Yarrowia lipolytica: one gene and its partners. The protein of the gene in region 4 purifies or fractionates together with the protein of the main gene of each other region. This does not show direct contact. Links are inferred from orthologs where the notes say so. Each region holds a gene or a part of one and is shown on either strand. Other genes may lie near its edges.

What was found. Proteins that work in one complex are often made in the same cells at the same time.
Region 1: the proteins of YALI1_F37963g (region 4) and YALI1_B28053g purify together in Saccharomyces cerevisiae (affinity purification with mass spectrometry, with the first as the bait; 4 studies listed by BioGRID). This does not show direct contact. The link is inferred for Yarrowia lipolytica from reciprocal best matches to the Saccharomyces cerevisiae genes KRR1 and ROK1.
Region 2: the proteins of YALI1_F37963g (region 4) and YALI1_B01839g purify together in Saccharomyces cerevisiae (affinity purification with mass spectrometry; 6 studies listed by BioGRID, with this or other methods). This does not show direct contact. The link is inferred for Yarrowia lipolytica from reciprocal best matches to the Saccharomyces cerevisiae genes KRR1 and PWP2.
Region 3: the proteins of YALI1_F37963g (region 4) and YALI1_E30707g purify together in Saccharomyces cerevisiae (affinity purification with mass spectrometry; 4 studies listed by BioGRID). This does not show direct contact. The link is inferred for Yarrowia lipolytica from reciprocal best matches to the Saccharomyces cerevisiae genes KRR1 and NOP6.

The regions. Positions count from the first base shown.
Region 1 is NC_090771.1:2,802,539-2,807,423, reverse strand, and holds YALI1_B28053g (uncharacterized protein), read left to right. Parts: upstream 1-2,134; coding exon 2,135-3,778; downstream 3,779-4,885. Other genes in the region: YALI1_B28025g (uncharacterized protein), read right to left, coding at 4,059-4,369, 4,775-4,880. UniProt on the Saccharomyces cerevisiae protein: ATP-dependent RNA helicase involved in 40S ribosomal subunit biogenesis. Required for the processing and cleavage of 35S pre-rRNA at sites A0, A1, and A2, leading to mature 18S rRNA.
Region 2 is NC_090771.1:181,749-187,779, reverse strand, and holds YALI1_B01839g (uncharacterized protein), read right to left. Parts: upstream 3,829-6,031; coding exon 1,108-3,828; downstream 1-1,107. Other genes in the region: YALI1_B01878g (uncharacterized protein), read left to right, coding at 1-527; YALI1_B01826g (uncharacterized protein), read left to right, coding at 4,997-5,114, 5,166-5,437; YALI1_B01822g (uncharacterized protein), read left to right, coding at 5,497-5,500, 5,546-5,760. UniProt on the Saccharomyces cerevisiae protein: Required for bud-site selection and cell separation. Also involved in nucleolar processing of pre-18S ribosomal RNA.
Region 3 is NC_090774.1:3,068,747-3,073,064, reverse strand, and holds YALI1_E30707g (uncharacterized protein), read left to right. Parts: upstream 1-2,299; coding exon 2,300-3,211; downstream 3,212-4,318. Other genes in the region: YALI1_E30725g (uncharacterized protein), read right to left, coding at 1-535. UniProt on the Saccharomyces cerevisiae protein: Predicted to be involved in rRNA processing.
Region 4 is NC_090775.1:3,794,108-3,798,452, forward strand, and holds YALI1_F37963g (90S preribosome/SSU processome component KRR1), read left to right. Parts: upstream 1-2,242; coding exon 2,243-3,322; downstream 3,323-4,345. Other genes in the region: YALI1_F37929g (uncharacterized protein), read left to right, coding at 1-1,423; YALI1_F37986g (uncharacterized protein), read right to left, coding at 3,395-4,345. UniProt on the Saccharomyces cerevisiae protein: Required for 40S ribosome biogenesis. Involved in nucleolar processing of pre-18S ribosomal RNA and ribosome assembly. Essential for vegetative growth.

The DNA.
Region 1 (4,885 bases), on a different chromosome or scaffold from region 4:
TGTGCTAAAACAACAAGACGGGTGGTTTTAGGCCGCAGAAGGCCGTTTTTTTATTGCTCCTTGGTTTGTGAAAACACTGCTGCCTGTAGTTATTTGCCAACCTTTCTTTTTCTGGATCACCCCACCTCGACCAGCAAGATGAGGTAGAGTAACTAACGAGAAGATCGCCTCTCTCGAGGAGCGCCATACAGGTATACATTATTACCCTGCCAAAAGACAAAAGATTAACCCAACTTAATCTCTCGGAAAGGATCTGGGATACCACCCACAGAGTTAGGCCTCAGCATAACATCTGCAGTTGGAGATAGCGGAGAGTCGCAAGTCGCCCAAGGCAATTTGCCTTGTGCTTTTGCCCAAACAAGAACAAGGCGCACTCTACATGATATTAGAAAATGCTGGAATGTCCAGAGGATGGTTTTATGGCTTAGAAGGGGAACGCCACGGCCATCGTAGTCCGACTTTTAGGCTTCCTTTAAATCGGTTAATCTTACCTACACAAGGAGCTTTCCACAGACCAAAACCATTTTGACACTGCACCAGCTTGTTATGGGTATGGTAGACACAAATCACCGACAAAAGAGCTCCCCACTAGCATAGTGCTATCATCCCCGGTCCTTGTCCTGCTAGCTCGCACAAGCACACCTCTAAAGAGTGCTAATTTGTTTGACAGCTCCAAGACGGTACAATAGGCAACATAGAGCCCATCTGACAGCCCAGTATGAAACACGAACGTTGACCAGAGAACAACGGTAGCGTGCAGAAGTTTGCTTGAAAACACGAGATTTGCCGCCACGTGCAAATTCCGGAGTGTCTGTCAGATGGTGTCCACATAACCGCGCTGTGGCCCCTAATTTCCAGAATCAATGTAGCATCTTGAGGAGGATAAGTTACACAACGAAGATCAGAGGCTGCTCCACTAGGTCGGCGGTCTCAAGTTAGTTTGTGTCTATTTTTAGTTGGTCAGACTTGATAATAGTCTCTCAGTCTGTGAGCTCAAAATAGGAGCCTCATAGTCTGGACTGGCACACAATAATTTCTTAGTCTCCGACCGCCTGCCAGCCCAGTGACAATAACTCTGTACAATGACAAGGGTTGAAGAGGAGTACAAGTACTTGTATAACTAGTTGTACTGTACAGCCGCTCCTCGTCCTCGAACATACGCTTCAAATCAACTCAACTGGCCGCAAGGGGTCGAACAGGGTTACCTTCTAAGTTGACATTCGATCGCAGACTTGTTACAGCTGTTGCAGTTATATTTCCCTGTGGCAGTAGAGAGAGGCCTTTACAGTGTTCGTGACAATTCTACTAATGAAAACCGATAGACAAGCTATCCAACGCTCTATCATAAGAGCTCTGCTATCTTATATGACTCATTAGGGTCTATCAGCCCCGTATAGAGGAATAATATATGAAAAATGAGCCAAGAAGGTGCTGGTGCGCGCCCCCACAATCCCAAAGTTGACGACTATCGCATCCCACTCCGTATAGCATCAATTGGAATGTTGTACATTTAATATTTTCATTTGTCGAGCCCGTAAAATGTTCGGATCCAATTCTGTAACCGTTATATTAGCTTATCTTGTAGCCTTTAGCCCACCCGAGTAGAAGGGTTTAAAACGAAGTGTCCACCAGGGGTTTTCAAGGACGATATCGGCTATTGGTGCCGTTAGATACCGCGGGGGTCTGTAGCCTCGGTTAGAGGAAAAGTGGCGTGATCTCGTTGGCGCAGGTCTAGAAGAATGTGATTCTTACTGTAGCTGTAGGCCAGCTATTGGTTACGTTACTGTAATTCACTTGAAGGCTTGTTGAGAGAAGTAACTACAAGTAAAAGTGAAGTCCTTTGCAGATAACTGCAGGGAGGTTTGTTAGTTGCAATCGCGTATACTTGGAAAATATCACATGCAGATAAGAAACGCTCACATAATACAATGCAGAATTTGCCGAAACTAAACACTTTTGATAACTACGTACTCTCTTAATAAATCCGCCTAATACTCGCCACCGTAGTCCCCAACACTTACTCAGCGAGGATAGGCCGTTTTAAGTTTCACCTCCCAACCTTATACAAAAAAATCTCGAGAGTGCATGAGCATCGTTTTCAGGTGAAAATACATTACCACTCACCACATACACCATGGATATCTTCAAAGTACTATCTCGAGGAGCCACGATCCAGCGAAACGGTAAACACAGGAAGGACCTGACTCTGCTCAACCACGCTGCTCCCAAAGACACCCAGGACAATGTCGACATTGAAGTTGCCCGAGAAACCGACTTTTTCAAGACCAAGACAGACACTTACTCCAAGAAGCGAGTAGCTGAGGAGGCTGAGCTGGACAATGAAGAGGAGGAAGAGGCTCCCCCGCCCATTATCAGTACTCCCGAGGAGGCTGTGGTTTTCCGAAACAAGCACAAGATCAACATCACCGGAGAAGACTCCCCTCTGCCCATTGGGTCGTTTGAAGACCTCATCACTCGATTCAACTTGCATCCCTATCTTCTGGCCAACCTCAAGAAGAACAAGTACACAGACCCTACCCCGATCCAGTGCGAGAGTATCCCTACAATGCTGAACGGCCGAGATCTGATTGCCTGTGCTCCAACTGGTTCCGGTAAGACTATGGCCTACAGCATCCCCATGGTGGAGATGCTGGGTAAGAAGAAGGGCTCCAAGGACGCTAAGAAGGGAATCAAGGCACTGGTGGTTGCCCCCACCAAGGAGCTGGCGTCTCAGATCTTCAACGCTGTGTTCTCGCTCTGCGTGGGTGTTGGAAAAAAGAAGGACGAGCTGAAACCCTGCTTGCTGGACAAGAGCACGGCCGACAAGCTGCGAAACGGAAAAGTCAGCTCCCAGAAATACGACATTTGCATTACCACCCCCCTGAGACTGGTCTCCGCCCTCAACGACGGCAGCCTGGACCTTGGATCCCTGGATCTGGTCATCTTCGATGAGGCCGACAAGCTGTTTGAGAAGGGCTTTGCCACCCAGGTCGATGACATTCTGGCAGCATGCCCCTCGGGTATTCAGAAGACTCTGTTCTCCGCAACCATTCCTGCCTCTGTCGAGCAGCTGGCAAACAGTATCATGAGCACCGACCCTCTACGTATCATTATCGGTAACAAGCAGGCTGCTGCCCAGACCGTTGAGCAGAAGCTGGTGTATGCTGGAAACGAGGAAGGTAAGCTTGTGGCTATCCGACAAATGGCCCGAGAGGGTCAGCTTGTGGCCCCTGTCATCATCTTCCTGCAGTCCATCGACCGAGCCAAGGCACTGTTCAAGGAGCTGGTTTTCGACGGAATCAACGTCGACCAGATCCATGGAGACATGACTGCGGCCAAGCGAGCTTCCGTCATCGACCGTTTCCGAAACGGAGAAGTCTGGGTGCTAATCTGTACCGACGTTCTGGCCCGAGGTATCGATTTCCGAGGCATCAACCTGGTCATCAACTACGATGTACCCCAGTCTGCACAGTCTTACGTGCATCGAATCGGACGAACCGGTCGAGCTGGCCGACTCGGCAAGGCCGTCACCTTCTTCACCAAGGAGGACGCTACCAATGTCAAGGTGGTAGTCAATGTCATGAAGCAGTCTGGACAGGAGGTACCCGACTGGCTCAACAACCTCGCTCCCCTGACTCAGAAGGAGCGAGACAACATCAAAAACAGACCCATCAAACGAAAGAAGATCTCTACTCAACATGCTCTGGCTAACAACAAGAAGAAGCGGGCCAAACAGCAGATGAAGGGTCTCAAGAAGATGAAGAAGGACGACGAATAAGTTATTGTGGACCGCCTAGGCCATGCTATAGACTAATGTACATCAGATAAATGGAGCGAGCTGTCGTAGAGATGTATTAAAGCTGACGTGCGATCTGTGTCTGTACGCCCTTCACTTTCCATACGATGCAAGCCATACACACAGGCAGATAATTAGCTGTTACAAGTATATAGGTCAGATACTGGAAAAACGACACCGTTAAAACCACTCAGGAACAATTCAATAGAAACGCAAAGCGTCAGTTTTAAATTACATGTTAATCGGATTTCTAATGTCCAATTTAGTGCTTGTCAGCAGAGGGGACCTTGTAGCCAATGACGTTTCGTCGGCCGATAACCTCACCGAGGGTGAAGAGACCGAGGATCTGGACACCGTAGGCAGTGTATCGGAGAGCGTCAGTCTTGGTGATGGACTCAGCACAGTCAATGACCTTCTGGGGCTTGAGGGCGTAAGACTTGACGGAGTTGAACAGGTTCTGGTAGACAGACTGGAACTGAGAAAGAGAGGGGGGAGCAAAGCCCTCCTTGAGGTAGATCTGCTTTCCGAGCTCACCGGTGACCTTGGCCCAGTAGACGGCACAGTTGGTGATGCCTGAGTTAGTATAATGTTGGGGGTTGACTGCCTTGGAGTAGTGGCATGATTCGAGGAGTAGAACAGATACAGATTCCCGGAGTGGATAGGGTGTTGATCGGAGTACTGAACGAGATTGATTCCAATGAGGTGGGCCGCTGATGACACTGGAACTGCTAACGATGTCGCACTAGTGTACTCGTCTCTATCACGTGTCTAGTGTCGTCGTTCACAACTTCCGACACGTCAAGCTGATGAAACACCATCTGGTAGCACCGGTAAACACCACAATCACATCCAATCAAAACAGGACACTCTCGTGCCACACTCTCCTTGCACTTGTCCATCCCCGACCCCCATATACGCAGCTGTGTTGCTTGTTATCGCCGGAAAATCGAAAAGTCTCCTAGCTCGAGAAATACTCACCCTGGACCTTGGCTCCGAGACCCTGGGCCTTGGAGGCAGCCTTGGAGGCAGCGGTGGACTGGAATCGCACCTGCTGGAAAACGCCAGAAACTCTGCTTCGGAACATTGTGT
Region 2 (6,031 bases), on a different chromosome or scaffold from region 4:
TTTTCAATGGTACTGTCTGTCAATTGTGGTACTTTTCGTTTAGTTCACGCAATTCTCCAAACAAATCTGTCCCACGACTAGAATATGAGAGTGGTTGTGTGAGCCCCTTGACATCTCGGGCTAACTGCGGGTTTCGCAAGAGCTCCTGGATCCAGTGTGGCTCGCTTGCCAACGGTGGTCAGCTGGCGAGCTGGAAGTGGGTCCATCCTGAACGGCAGATCTTTGTACTTGAGGACAGACTGGGAGAGTCGGTTAATGCTGCTCGAGGGCCTTGTCGACCACAGACAGTTGTACCGCAGCTTTCATCAGGTGGAGTATCGATTCTGAAGAGCGACAACGTCTCCTTGCTCACGGGTAAAGGGGAGTGGTACAGTCGTTGTAGGATAGGGAGTGAGAGAGGAACGGACGGTATTGTGGAGAGGGTTTCCGAAGTGCAGAGTACACTCAGTCGAAGATGTAATGAGGAAAGCACTTGTGGTGGTGGTGACAAGACTGTGGTTCCACCAAGTACCCTTGAGATCTTCTAGATGGTGTTCCAATACGATTATCGTGGGTGCATCGGTGTGGGTAATGACTATGCTTAAGAAGTTGCCTCTGGATGCTGTGTTAGTTGTACAGTGTCTCCATCTCTCTCTGCGTCTTTCTGTGTCTGTCCGTGTCTGTCTAGGTCTGTCTGTGTCTCAATATCAGTCTGTCTGTGTGCTTTCGGGCCATTTAGGAGGAATACTTGGATATGGATATCTGAATTATTTATCTTGAATAAAAAAAAGGTAAAAAATAAAAAATAAATAAATAAATAAATAAAAAATTCTGAAAAAACGCTACAAGTACAAACTACAGCTGAGGTACTGTGCCGGTACAGTACAATCTACTTATGAGGTCAATAAAACAATCTATTAATATTTTTGTGCAACTTCAGTCGGCAGACGTTGTGCTAGAGTGACGCCAGAGCCGATGCCAAAACGGCATTCTGATGGGCACATTAGTCGACTTGCAGAGCCTGACCCGCACTTTTGGATGACCTGGTGCGATATCTCCGAGCCGAACCAACGTAAGTCAGAGCCCTCCAGCTCCAGGCCTAGGCGCCGTGGTTCTCACCCGTCCTGCTTACTCATCCTCCTCCTCCTCATCATCATCATCCTCATCAACATCCATCTGAGCAAAAGCATCATTCTTGGACTCTGGGCCAAACCAGCCCTCCTCGTCATCATCATCGTCATCATCCTCGTCTTCAACCTCCATTTCGGTCTCGATGGGAACCAGAACCTCGTCGGGCTCTCCAGTAATCATTCTGGACTCGTCGACCGGAACAGACGGCTTCGACCCGAGCAAAAACTCGGCAGAATACCCGTTGGTGCCCGCCAGTCGAGCAACCTCCTTGTTGACCCGGGTGACAAACTTCTGCACCGCCCGCAACACCTGGGCGTACTCGTGCTTGCGCTGGGCCATGTGCCGCCCATGCGCGGTAATCACGGCCTTGATCCACCGCAGATGGAACTCGGCATGGGGAGTAGCCTCAGTTGCAGAGGCCAGGAATCGCAGAAACCTTTCGAGATAGACGACCGGAAGTCCCCGCGCGACCCGCTCAATGGTGTCGACGGGAATGGACTCGTAGACACGCTGAATGAGCCGCGGAACGTTCAGTCGATGGGCCATGACCAGCGCAATCAGATACTCCTTGTTTTCCAGCGCCTCCATCGTGGTCTGGGGAGTCACGTCCACGTCCAGATCAAAGGGATCGAACATGAGCTCGTCGTCGATGGAGTACATGAGCAGACCCTCGGTGGAGGCTGCAGCAAACTGGCGACCGGTGGGCGAGAACTTGATGCCGGTGGTACGAATCTCGGGCCGGGTGCGTCGTTTGGACTTGTCGCCGCGAACCACGCCCGGAAGAGTGTCGTCCACGCGGTCCTCCCAGTCGGACCCGTCTGGGTCGTTGATCAGATTCAGAGCGCCGGCCTCGGTCATGTTCTTTGAGTTGAGGTAGTCTAGAGTGCCCTCCAGAGACATATTTCGCGACACCTCGAACCGCTTGAGCAAGACGCCCGACTGCACGTCGTACAGGCAAATGAACCGCGAGTTGCCGCCGGCAATCAGACACTTGCCGTCGGCGGAGTAGGTCATGCAGGTAAAGTACTTGGAGCGCGCCGAGTTTTTGGCAGAGAACCGGTCCGACGAGTGCCGCCCACCGCTAATGTCCTTGGCTCCATCAATGCTACCCACCTGCTTGCCCTCCTCAATGTCCCACACGGAGATTTCGCCGTTGAGTGTGGACACCGACAGCTGCTTGGAGTCGGGCCGCATCACCACCTGGAGCACGTCCGACGTGAGCTGGAACGGCTCCACCGTCTGCGTACGCGCAAAAATGTTCCACACCCGCACCGTGTGGTCCCACGACGCGGAGGCCAGAATTGACGCGTTGGCGATTTCGGCGCCAAAAGACAGACACGAGACGGGACCCTCGTGTCCGGCCAGCGTGTCCAGCAATTGGCTTGTCTGCACACTCCACACGTAGATGTCAAAGTTGTCCAGCGAGCCAGCGCACACCACCTCGCCGGAGGGGTCCACGGCCAGGGACGAAAACTGGACTCGCTCGGGGGCAGCAAAGGTGCGGAAGTTGCGGTACCGAATGAGATCCCAGGCGCGCACGGAGCCGTCCAAGGACGCCGAAAACAACACGTTGCCCTTGCGGGAGAACTCCAGGGCGGTGACCGCTGCCGAGTGCTCGGTGAACGTGACCAGGCAGAACCCCGACGAGGTGTCCCACAGCTTGATTTTGCCGTCCTCCGACGCGGTTACCACCTTGCTGCCGTCCGGAGAGTACACGAGGGAGTTCATAGAGTCAAAGTGGCCCTGCTGCTTGAGAATGTACGACTCGGATTGCCACTCCCACACCAGCAGCTGGCCCAGCTTGCTCGCGCCCAGCGCCATCCACTCTCCCGTGGAGTTGATGGTAACAAAGTCAATGCCGTGCTGAGACACGGACATGGTCTGGATCTGCGTCATGGACGGCAGCTCGTACATGGCAAAGGTGCCGTTGGCAAACCCCACCACCAGAATGTTCGATTTGGCGTGGAACGCCGAGCACTTGAGCACCGACTGCTGGTGGAAGTAGTGCCGGTCTTTGATTTTCCACCCCACAAAGCCGTCGTCACCGTCGTCGTTATCGTCATACGCCCACTCGAAACAGGCGCCGTCCTTGGATACCGTGTAGATGGTCTCCTGGTCCTGCGAAAAGAAGGCGTTGGTGATGGTGTCTCGATGACCGCCCAGCGTTGCTGCGGCGCCCGAGTCCTTATCCATCAGCGACCACACGCGGCACGTCAAGTCCTTGGACGTGGTCAGAAAGAACCGCGAGTCGTCGGACCACGTAATCGACGTGATCTCGGCAAAATGGCCCTCGTAGCGCTTGTGGCGCACAAACGGCGCAAACGAGCGGCTGTTTGTGTCGCTGGGGATCGCCCACACCTCCAGCCGCGCACCAATGTTGATGGCAAAGTACTGCGAGTCCGGCGAAAATTGAACGTCCGACACCACGTCGCGGAAATTGAAATGATGGATCACCGTCCGTCGCTTGAAGTTGACCAGAATCGCCTTGCCGTCGTCCGACACTGTCAGCATCAGCGAGCCCTGCGCATTCAGAGCAATGCACGTGATGTTGCGCCGGTGCTCGTACGGGAACGTGAAGGAGGTGTTCTTCACCAGATCGAAATACGACACCCGGTTGCCCACCGGCGAAAGCAGCGCCGTGCCGTCAGGCGTAAACACCAGGTTTCCCTGCCGATACACGGTCCCCAACAGATTCGAAAATTTGTAGTCCGCCTTCATGTCTGTGTAGTACGGGAAATGTGTCTAGGTGGTTCTGTTGTCTGGGTGGAGTTGTGTGAGTAGAAAAAATATGCACGATTTCGATTTTTTTTAAACAAGGTTTGGGGGAGGGCGGAAGAGGTCATAATCTGTGCCTGAGGGGGGAGCACGTCGGAGAGAGTTGAAGGGTATCATTGCGTTACTCTCGTCGAGACGAACAAAATGATATGTTTGGATTTTCTGTGGGAGTTGTCGTTGCAATGTTGGGCCGGAAGAGTCAGAGTGGCAATATTTTTCAGTGAAAAATCTTATTTAAATAAATCGAAATAAATGAGCGTGAATTGAAGTCACTCGTTGTGGTTGGTAGAAAAGAGAAATGGGAAAGATGTACCTCATTTTGTGGTCTCCGGATGATTCTCAACGACATGATACGTTTGAATTACATTTGTGGTGATTGTGAACATGTTTGGATCGCACTGGCCACTGTGAATGGACTCTGTAGGACCACTAACCAATGATCGCATAAACACAGTACAAATAGCCAATGACATCAACGGAAACAATCGTAGTATTGATCCCGCCAACCATAGAAACATAATGACCCTCTTCCGAGTCCAATCGGAGCACTATTCGTGGATATAGATGGATCTTGCTGGATCAGTACTCTAGCCCCATCCAATAGTGAACCGGTCAAGACCAACTCGACGAATAATGGACGCATAGGAATTCTAAAAGAACCATCAGACTCGCAGAGAAAAAAGCTCTCGACTCCTTGTTCAAGTCCCGTGATTCATCTCTTCTCCGCCACGCCCTTTTGCAATCACGTTCAGGGTCCCCACTAGCGACATTAGTCTGGGATGGTTGTGTGGAATTAGGAGTCTGGTAGTTTTTGATCCAGTGGCTTTATGGCTTATATAATTATATCAAAATACTCCCTGGCTTGCGGAGAGTTCAATGGTGGCATTTTTATCTTTCTCCGACCACTATCAGGTCCCCAAAATCGGTATTGTAGACTTCCATCACTGCTAAGTTTAGACGATGGTCTAACTTTTTTAGTTCGAAAGCTGATAACGTGAAATTTATCCTGGAGACTAATTATTGTTCCAGAAACTTCCAGCTTTGATATCTAGTGATTTCGAGCAACATTGAGACCACAATATCCACTGTTGCTGTTGTTGTACCTCGGCTCATGTTGGAAATAAGGTTTACAGATTGCCGTATACGTGCAGGAGAACTGCGACGCCCAAGATTCCGCGCGACATGTTCGGACCCGGAGGAGATAATGTGGCCGTTCGGGGTGTCGTTGGGTTTGTCTCGAGCTGACTAGACGATTTCCGGCGTCGAAATTCCAATCAAAGTAATATTGACAAAGTTGAGGCTCAACGATCCGGGAACGTCACGTGACCGTCGGGGGAAGCGAGATATTTTCCCATTCTTGATTGCCTCAAGCTCTCATTTGGCGTGCATTTTCTGCTGTATCTGTATTTCCGTTTTTGTACTGAAAAGTAGAGGGTTTGGGGGAGCAATTATGAGCGACGCGTTTGGAGTGGGTTTAAAGGGGTTGATCCGGGGACGGTTGGCGTGTGAGCAATCTTGGGGGTCTCAGATGGTTGTTGCGACCGCCAGCTGAGTGCTGGAGTTGCTGTTGCTGGAGTTGCTAGAGTTGCTGGAGTGACTGTTGCAGGGTGCATGTGTGCTCGGAGTTATCGGAGATAAGCCGCCTGAGGGGCGAGGAGAGGGGCTAGGTTGATTTTGAAAAGCGGACTTGTCTCACTTCGGTTCAAAGGACAGAATTGTATGGTTTTCCCGCCGATAGGGAGTCATTTATGTGGTTTGGAGTCGCCATGTTTGGTTGTGGTTGCGGCGGTCCGGTTCGATTGCGCCATTTACCATTGGAGCGAAATAAACCCTGGGGCGATTAACACGGTATTAGAGATGTGCGGAAAGGGCTGAAATGAGCGGGACGGGGGGATTTACTTTTGTAGCCACGCGTCTTTTGGTGTTTGGAGGGAGATGAGTTATTTACAGAGTGGAGAGGGGGGTGGGGGGAGGTTGAATGGAGGTGGGTCCAGCTTGGGATTGGACCGGTTAAATGGGACGAGGGGAGTTAGGCATGGGTTCGCAGCGGTTTCAGCTCCATTTCGCATGTCTCGGCGTTCGAATCGGGACTCTCTCCAAGACGCAGTATTCAAAGGGTTTGCCAGTTCATACTTTAGTTAGGTAT
Region 3 (4,318 bases), on a different chromosome or scaffold from region 4:
TGTGCTGATCCAGCGAGATCTGGGGCTCCATGATGAGCGTATGCAGATCGAGCCACCAGAACCACTCGGCGTTGGGGAACTGGCGCATGGTCTCCTTGATGATGTCGACCTTCTGCCACGACTCTCTCCACTCGTGAGAGTATCTCTTCTTGAGACTCACGTCCTTGACGGCAAGATGGTAGCCGTGGCGCTCGGCGTATTCTCGCTTGTTTTCAATGCTGCTTCGCTCGATGGCCCACTCTTTGGCTCCCTTCCAGTGCATGACTCCTCCACCCTCGTTGGCAGCCAGGATAATCACGTACTTGCCCGAGCCCCAGTTGAAGTGCGGCACAAATGGCACGGCTGTGAAGAAGGACAGCAGGGTCAGCAGCAAAAAAATGACGACAAAGATTTTGCGCCGTATCAGGGCCGTAGCCAAACCCTCGATGAAGCCTCCCACCGTGGCGATGATCCCTCCTCGTTGCCGTCGCGACCACCCGCCCTCGGGCTTGTCCCACGCCGACACGGACGATTTGCGCCTCCAGTTCTGGCTCATTGTGTGTGTGTTTTTGTGTTTGTCGTGGTGAAGTGTATGTGTTGATGTTGTCTTTTTGGTGATGAGAGTTAATGTACAGTAGCTTGGTAGACATGCGTGTGGTGGACGTGCGTACTTTATTTCAGTTGGACCAGCATCGCTGTATTTGTAGCTAATGGACTTGGTGAACCTGGGACATGTCTTGGAAGAGCATACATACTACGTGGACGACGTAAGTCATTTCCGTGAGAATAATTACCGCTCTCTCTTGCTCCTCAATCTGGTACAGTATTACGTGTATATCTGGCGCCTTACATGTTCAACGTCACAGAATTTTTCGTCCCAAAAACCGTGTGCATACTACATACGTCATGGTGACGCTGAGATAATGAGATGATAGCGATGTAAGGACAGGTACGAGGAGCAGGACCATAGAAGATGAAGACTAGAACCGTACCAGTAGTATTGAGTGATCGCTGCACAATACCAACCCACATCTCCACCTCGTCCATCACTACAACCTATTGTTATTCACGACGATAAATATGCTCATGTGGACCAGTTACTTCTTTTCATCTTTAAGCTCCACTGACGGCTTCAAAGTGGGTACACGGCTGGTGGGCATGCTTAACGAGTACTTGTAGCTACAGTAGAGAAGAGGTTGTAGACAAGGCAATGGTACGATGCACGTGAGCTTTCACATCGAACCAGGCTTGACTGTAACCACCTCACAACTGCTTAGTCACATCCACTCACACGTGCCACCCCTACTTTTCTTTGTGCGCTTGTGCATCCTCTTGTCCATCTTCAGGGGCAACCTTTTTCACTACGAGTACATACTGTAGTTACAAGCACTGCTCCGAGGCAAGGATCGTCCTGAGTATGTGCGAGCTGATGACTGGGTGAGGTTATGAGTGGAGAGATGTTGATTATATAATAAAGAATGATGATCTGGGTACAGTGTACTGTGCAATTTGGTAAGATAGGAGTATGTACAATTGTACAATACTGTAGTTACAGATACACTGTGGTGGTGACGTAAGATACAACATTCGCCTGCACAATGGAACATATAGAAAGACTCTTATACTACGATACAAGGGGCTCCATGGTGAACGACCAAACACAATGTCTATTACTTATGCACAGAATAGCGTCTGGAATGGAACGTTGAAAGTGGGTTGGTTAACGAGAGTACACTGTGTTACTGTACTTGTTGTACTAAGAGCCACACACTGTGAGACAGATGGAGATGGCCAATTTTGTGATTAAAAAGCAAGATATAGAAAAAGAAGGGATATATTGGGCTAAACAAGCGGAGTGGTGGCGTGATATAGCTTCTGTGGCAAAAAGTCATGCAGTAGAGTGAGTGACTAGTTTACTGTAGGCTACAGTACTTTCAACCCAGGAAGCTACTTAGCCACATTGAGTACATTGCACAAGTACATTACGTAATTGTAATTACGTAATTTACAGTAGAGGGCACAGGAAGTGTAACAGGTTCGGGCACACAACAAATCGCGCGCATCTCTTGATAAGGACATTTGCGGGGTACTGTAATAACAAAACACTTCAAACAGAAGGATATAAAAACCACATGATAATTTTTTGAACACCCACAGACATAGTTTTCGCCCGTTTACTGAGAACATGTTTCTCCCTCTACTTCTTGTACTCCATCTCATCTCATGCACCCAAAGCTTATTGGGAAAAATTATGTGGTGTGCATTATCAGGCTGAAATTATTCCATTACCAGCTGTACACATCCTACAACGACTTTTACAATGGGATCCAAAGACAAGAGCAGCAAGAAGCAGGCCAAGGTGGTTGACGAGGTGACTGACGAGGTGACTGACGAGGTGAAGGCCGAAGAAACGGTCGATATCAAGACAAAAACTGACGAGACCAAGTCTGAGAAGAAGGATAAGAAGGACAAGAAGGCCGATGAGAGCAAGACTGAAGAGAACAAGACTGAAGGTAAAGCGGCTGACAAGACTGAGTCTGAAATTGACATATCGAAATTATCCAAGAAGGAGCGAAAGGCTTTGGAGTTCAAGAAGACCAAAAAGAAGATCGAGAAGGGAGAGTTAACGGTGGAGGCTCTTAAGGAGGAGAAGAAGGAGAAAAAGGAGGCCAAGAAGGCCGAGGAGGAGGAGAAGAAGGGTTCCAAGAAGCGAAAGCGGGATGGCGAGAACGGCCCTGCTGCCAAGGCGGCTCGATTTATTCTTTTCTGTGGTAACTTGCCTTATGATATCAAGGAGGAGGTGATTGCTGATCATTTTAAGACCTGCACTCCTAACAAGATTCGAATTCGAGATGCCAAGGGGTTTGCATTCCTCGAGTTTGAGGGCGACGACGCCTCCAGACGGATGAACGTTGCTCTCCGAATGCATCACTCTACTCTTATGAGACGAAAGATCAACGTGGAGTTGACTGCAGGAGGAGGAGGCAACTCATCCAACCGACGAAACAAGATCCAAGAGAAGCGACAGAAGCTGGACGACGAGCGGTCGGAGCGAATTGCTAACGAGGAGAAGGCCAAGGCTGAAGCCCAGGCCAAGGCTCGAAAGGACGAGAAGAAACAGAATCTGGCTTCGGCCCACAAGAAGGCCCACAAGGAGTTTGCTCCCCAGACCAAGAAGCCCAAGACCAGCACTCCCGGTGTCCATCCTTCTCGACAGGGTCTGATTCGGTAGAATAGAGGAATAGGCATATAGATAATGGACATAATGGAATGGTGGGAATAGGTAGTGATTAGTACAAGTACCGGTAGTTCTACGTACTGCTGCTGGGTACTACTAATAAGTCTCAAGTAAAATCGGTAATTATCGTACAGTATCGTACCAGTACTTGTATATACTGGTACGATACTCGTACCGTAGCAAAGCGATAGCCTGTTTCCATACGAATGCCTAAAAGTACGGTACTCGTACTCGTACTTGCCCGACACCGTATTGAAGTCTTACAGTAAGCTTCATCGACTACTCAGGTGTGCTCATACTTGTAGAAGAGGGTTCAAAACATACACAAAGAATGACTGAATTGAAAGCAGTTTGGCGGGATAAAGCACAAGTTACCAAATGAAGATAAAAAAAATAGATATCAGACCCATAATCACCTTGTTCGGCGGTTAATTCAAAGGCTTTGACTTGTGGCTAGAGTTTGAGACTGTGGAACTGTACGTTAACTGGAACGACCTACAAGTACCAGTAATGCGTGGAAGGGTTAAGGGAGAATGAGTAAGGGTAACAGCACTCGCCCTTGTAGCAACTACGATGCTGCTCGTGATACCGAAGGACTTGTACGAGTAACGGCAGATACTATGGACAAAATGAATACCTACGGACATGACGTTATAGACAGCTATTCATGACACCCGTCAACATCAACATATCATTCATTCCTCATGAAAGTCCGAGAAAACATCCCGTCTACATTCTCCTCTGGTCCATGAAACAGTGACAATCTCTTGGGTGATGTTTAAACCGCCTGGTGACTTCGGCTACACGTCTCGAAACGGCTGCGGGCAGTGCTCCAAGGTTGACTGGGGTGCGTGGAACTACGATAGACTCTCGGATATACACTGCTAGTATACTCACGCAGTTTATTTAGAGCGTACTGGTATTGGGCTGGATGAGTTTACAGGACAATCTTGGTCTGCTGGTGAAATGTAGGAGCGACATATATGGAACTAAGTCTATGAAAGTGATAGCACTTACCACACTGTATGTTTCGTGTAACCTGGTCTGAGGGACTTTTGTAGGTTCAATCATAGAGGAACGTACATAGGCTGACAAAAAAGT
Region 4 (4,345 bases):
AAAACGTTCGCCCAGCTCTAGCCCCAAAAACGTGGCTACTGGTTCCACTGGGTCTAACAACGTTGCCAGCTCAAGCGCAGCTATGAGTAGCAGCGCGTCTGTGAAATCCGACATGAGCTCTGTGGTTGGTGGTATGGGAAACAACAATGACGTTGGACTCTCTACCACAAACACAACTTCCACAGACAGTTCGACAGCTGCCGCTGCAGCTGCGTATGCCCCCAATGTGCCCTCTAAACAGTCGGCTCTGTTTAAGGCAAAGCTGTTTGCCAAACAAGCAAAACAACAATCGTCAGCCAAGAGTTTAAAGCCCAAACTCAAGCGCAAAGGCAACATTGACCTTACTATTCAGACACAACTCCCCAGCACTCGTCCTTCACTAGCAGAAAGAAGTCCACTGAACAGACCTTCCAAGGAACTGGAACGAATTGCAAGCATCGGCAGCAACGTACCCATCACGCCAACCATGGCGTCTGGCAGAGGAGATTACAACCATCCCTTGACAGCCGGAGCTAAGGATGACTCTCCCAGTGCGAAAAACAAGGCCCACTCCATTCTGCTGAGAGCCAAGAAGGATGTGCATTCTGCGGCTGCCTTCATGTCTTCGTCTTCGTCCAACTCCAAGCTCATCAACGAACAGGGCGGTTCCTTATACTCGTTCCAGAGCTCCTCACCTGGTGCTTTACACAAGAGTTTTTCCAGTGCTCTGGAACTCAAGAATTTCAACCAGACCAAGGAGGATAAGGAACAGCTCGCTGACGACGCATGGGCGCTTCTGTGTTCTCGAGTGCTTCCCTTGTTTTCAGGTGAAGGCATCCGAGTCCCCATTGAAGATCTCAACAAGCTGGTGGTGATGCACACTAATCTGCGGATCCAGGAGCATGTCACAGCCAAGTCTTTGTTGCAAGAATTCAAGGACCTGCTGAGATCTGGCATGTATACGCTGGACTCTACTATGTCCCGTGTGCCAGATGACAAGCTTATTGCTCACCTGACGACAGTTTGGGGTCACTTCTTCTCAGACGTGCTCCCTTACTGGGAGGGTGTCTTTCTGCCTCTTCAGCAGGAGTTCGATGGTTACGGAAAGAGCATGAAGCCCGAAGAGAGCGAGAAGTTCTGGGGTATGTTGCTCATGGACCGTGATCAGCTGAACATTCGTCTCATGACTCTGTGTGCGTTCAGAGACTACATCATTCTCCCTCACTCTGAGCGGTTGACTCGAATCATTTCCAATTTCGAGCTATCTTCTCAGGGAGCCAACACTCCCGTTAGACTCTTACAGTGTTTCTCCATCTTGGCCTCCATTCTGAGTGCTGATGCGCAACAGCAAAAGATGGACGAGCTGGTGAAGGTGCTCAAGACAGGATGGTTTTCTCGTTCCAGGGCAGGCAAGGACAGACGAGGCATGATTATCAAGGCCTAGAAACGCGAGACCCGTTATTATCTGGCCAGTTATTTATTTATATTTATTTTACTACTCAATTGTATATTATCGTAGCTTCCGTATGTGCAGTTAGTTCAAGTACAGTACAGTATTTAGCTACTGCACGCGGTGGCCAGCCCTGCTAATAATCTGAAAGCACACTATCCTGTGATATACTGTACGCCACCAAATCGTTTGTCAAAAATGCAATAAATATATTCGTAGACCTATATATCGGTCCATCTGTTAGAGGCCAAAACTGGCCAGGTCGTCCATCTGCTTCTCAAGCTCCTTCTTGGTGACGAGCCGCTTCTCTCGTTCTTCCTCCTTCTGTTTCAGAAGGGCCTCGCTCTTTTCCTTCTTCAGTGTCTCCTTGGATTTAACAGAGTAGACATCCTTGAGAGCATCTGGATCGTTGACGAGATCCAGCAGAGCCGAGTCCTTGTGTTTCTGGCTCTTCTGTTTAGGCACCGGCTTTTTGGCTGTCTTTTTTACACCACCAGTCTTGTCACGTGTTGGTCTGGAAAATGGACCTGCTCTGGCCTTTGATTTTGTCACGTTAGTCTTTGCCATGGTTGTGTAATGTCTGTGGTTGTGTTGTATGGCAACGCCTCTCAAAATATTTCTCTTTAGGTGGTTCAACGTGCATAAACTTAATTTTGGTGTGTGCCACCTCTAAACTAATTTCCCAAGTAGCTATTGATTACCTAACTACTAATTCCAATCCGCCAAACTCTGATAGAAAAAAAATTGAGTTTTCATGCGACAAATTTATCTCGTCCAAGGTAGACAGTTTCACGACACACTACACAGCCGACAATGGTCTCTACTCATAACAAAGACAAGCCATGGGATCAGCCCCACATTGATAAGTGGGCCGAGGATGAGTTCACCGAGAAGGACAACGCTTCCGGTCTGCCCTTTGCCGAGGAGTCTTCCTTCGCCACACTGTTCCCCAAGTACCGAGAAGGCTACCTAAAGGAAATCTGGGATGATGTCACCAAAGCCCTCGACCAAAAGGGTATTGCATGTGTTCTGGATCTCGTTGAGGGTTCCATGACCGTCAAAACCACCCGAAAAACTTACGATCCTTACGCCATTATGAACGCTCGAGATCTCATCAAGCTGCTGGCCCGATCGGTGCCTTTCCCCCAGGCAGTCAAGATTCTCGAGGACGGCATTGCATGTGACGTTATCAAGATTGGTAACTTCACCAGCAACAAGGAGAGATTTGTCAAGCGACGACAGCGTCTTCTTGGACCCAACGGTAACACTCTCAAGGCCCTGGAACTGCTCACACAGTGCTATATCCTTGTTCAGGGTAACACCGTCTCTGTCATGGGTCCCTACACACATATGAAGACTCTGCGACGAGTGATTGAGGACTGTATGATGAACATCCACCCCATTTACCACATCAAGGAGCTCATGATCAAGCGAGAGCTGGCCAAGCGACCCGAGCTAGCCGAGGAGGACTGGAGCCGTTTCCTGCCCCAGTTCAAGAAGCGAAATGTTGCTCGAAAGAAGCCCAAGACCATCAAGAACAAGGTTCGAACCGCTTTCCCTCCTGCCCAGCTGCCCCGAAAGGTGGATTTGCAGATCGAGTCTGGAGAGTTCTTCTTGGGTGCCGATGAGAAGCGACGACGAGCCGACGAGGAGAAGCGACAACAGCAGGCTGCTCGAAGTGCAGAGAAGCAGGCCCAGAGAGAGCTGGCCTTCATTGCGCCAGACGAGGACGAAGAGAAGGCCAAGAAGGAAAAGAAGAAGGAGAAGAAGGAAAAGAAGGAAAAGAAGGAAAAGAAGGAGAAGAAGGAGAAGAAGGAGAAGAAGCGAAAGAGCGATGACAGCGACGATGAGGGAGAGAAAAAGAAGAAGAAGAAGAAGCGATCCGTGGAGTAGCTTGCTTGTTCAGTAAAATAGATTTGTAATGCATAACTTGGTTAAAATAAATTAACTAGCTAGGCTAGAGAGCTATTCTAAAGTGCACCAACCTCGACCATCATTAACCTGGTAGTTACACAGTCCAGGCTCAAGCCAGAGACTGACTAGACCAGCAAGAACAATACCGGCAGAATCACTCATACCAACACTACCAAGAGCAAACTCTCGCTCTGCCAAATCAGCCTGTTCGGTAATCAGCAGAAAGGTGTTGACATAGGCAGCTCCCCCAAGCAGCCCTTCGTAGAATATGAGAATGAACACCAGCCAGACGTTGGGTAATATCGGTGACATAGACTGTGCAATGCAAAACACGAGGTTGGCAAACTGGAGCACTGAGGGGATCATAATTCGTCTAATTCTCACAAATGGTGCACTCGAACGTGAGATAAATACTCCCAACTGGTATAGTGTTCCATAGGTCACATAGACATCTCTGAACTTAGAAAAGGGCAACTCTTCCATGGGAAACAGAAGTGTGGGTGCCACTCCCTGGTTGATGGTGTACTCGGAAAAGTAGACCAGAAACAAAGGCAGCATGTAAGGCATAACCAGCGGCTTCAAACGGACCATTGTAGTTTCGTATCCAGAAGCAACAAACTCCCAGGTGATTGGCTGTGTTTCAATACCTGTTTCAGGGTCATTGCTGTGCACAGGGAAGGCCCCTGGTACACGGTTATAATCTCTAGGAGGAAGGAGATAGAAGTAGACTCCTAAGAAGGCCAGGGGAAAGAATGCAAAGACAAGCAATGACGTCTTGACTGAAACTCCGAGTACCGTGGTCAAGAGCATGAACAGCCCGCTACCCACTAGCCCTGCACCTCCAGTTCCGCTGCTCCACCCATTGAGAGCCCTGGTATCGTAAAAATGGGTTAATTGGAGAAAGGTGACCTCGCCCAGACCGGAAGAGAAAGAAGCCAGCACCACTCCCACGAGTTTGAGAAACAGAGGAGATGCTAGTGACACAGACATCATTCCCACAGT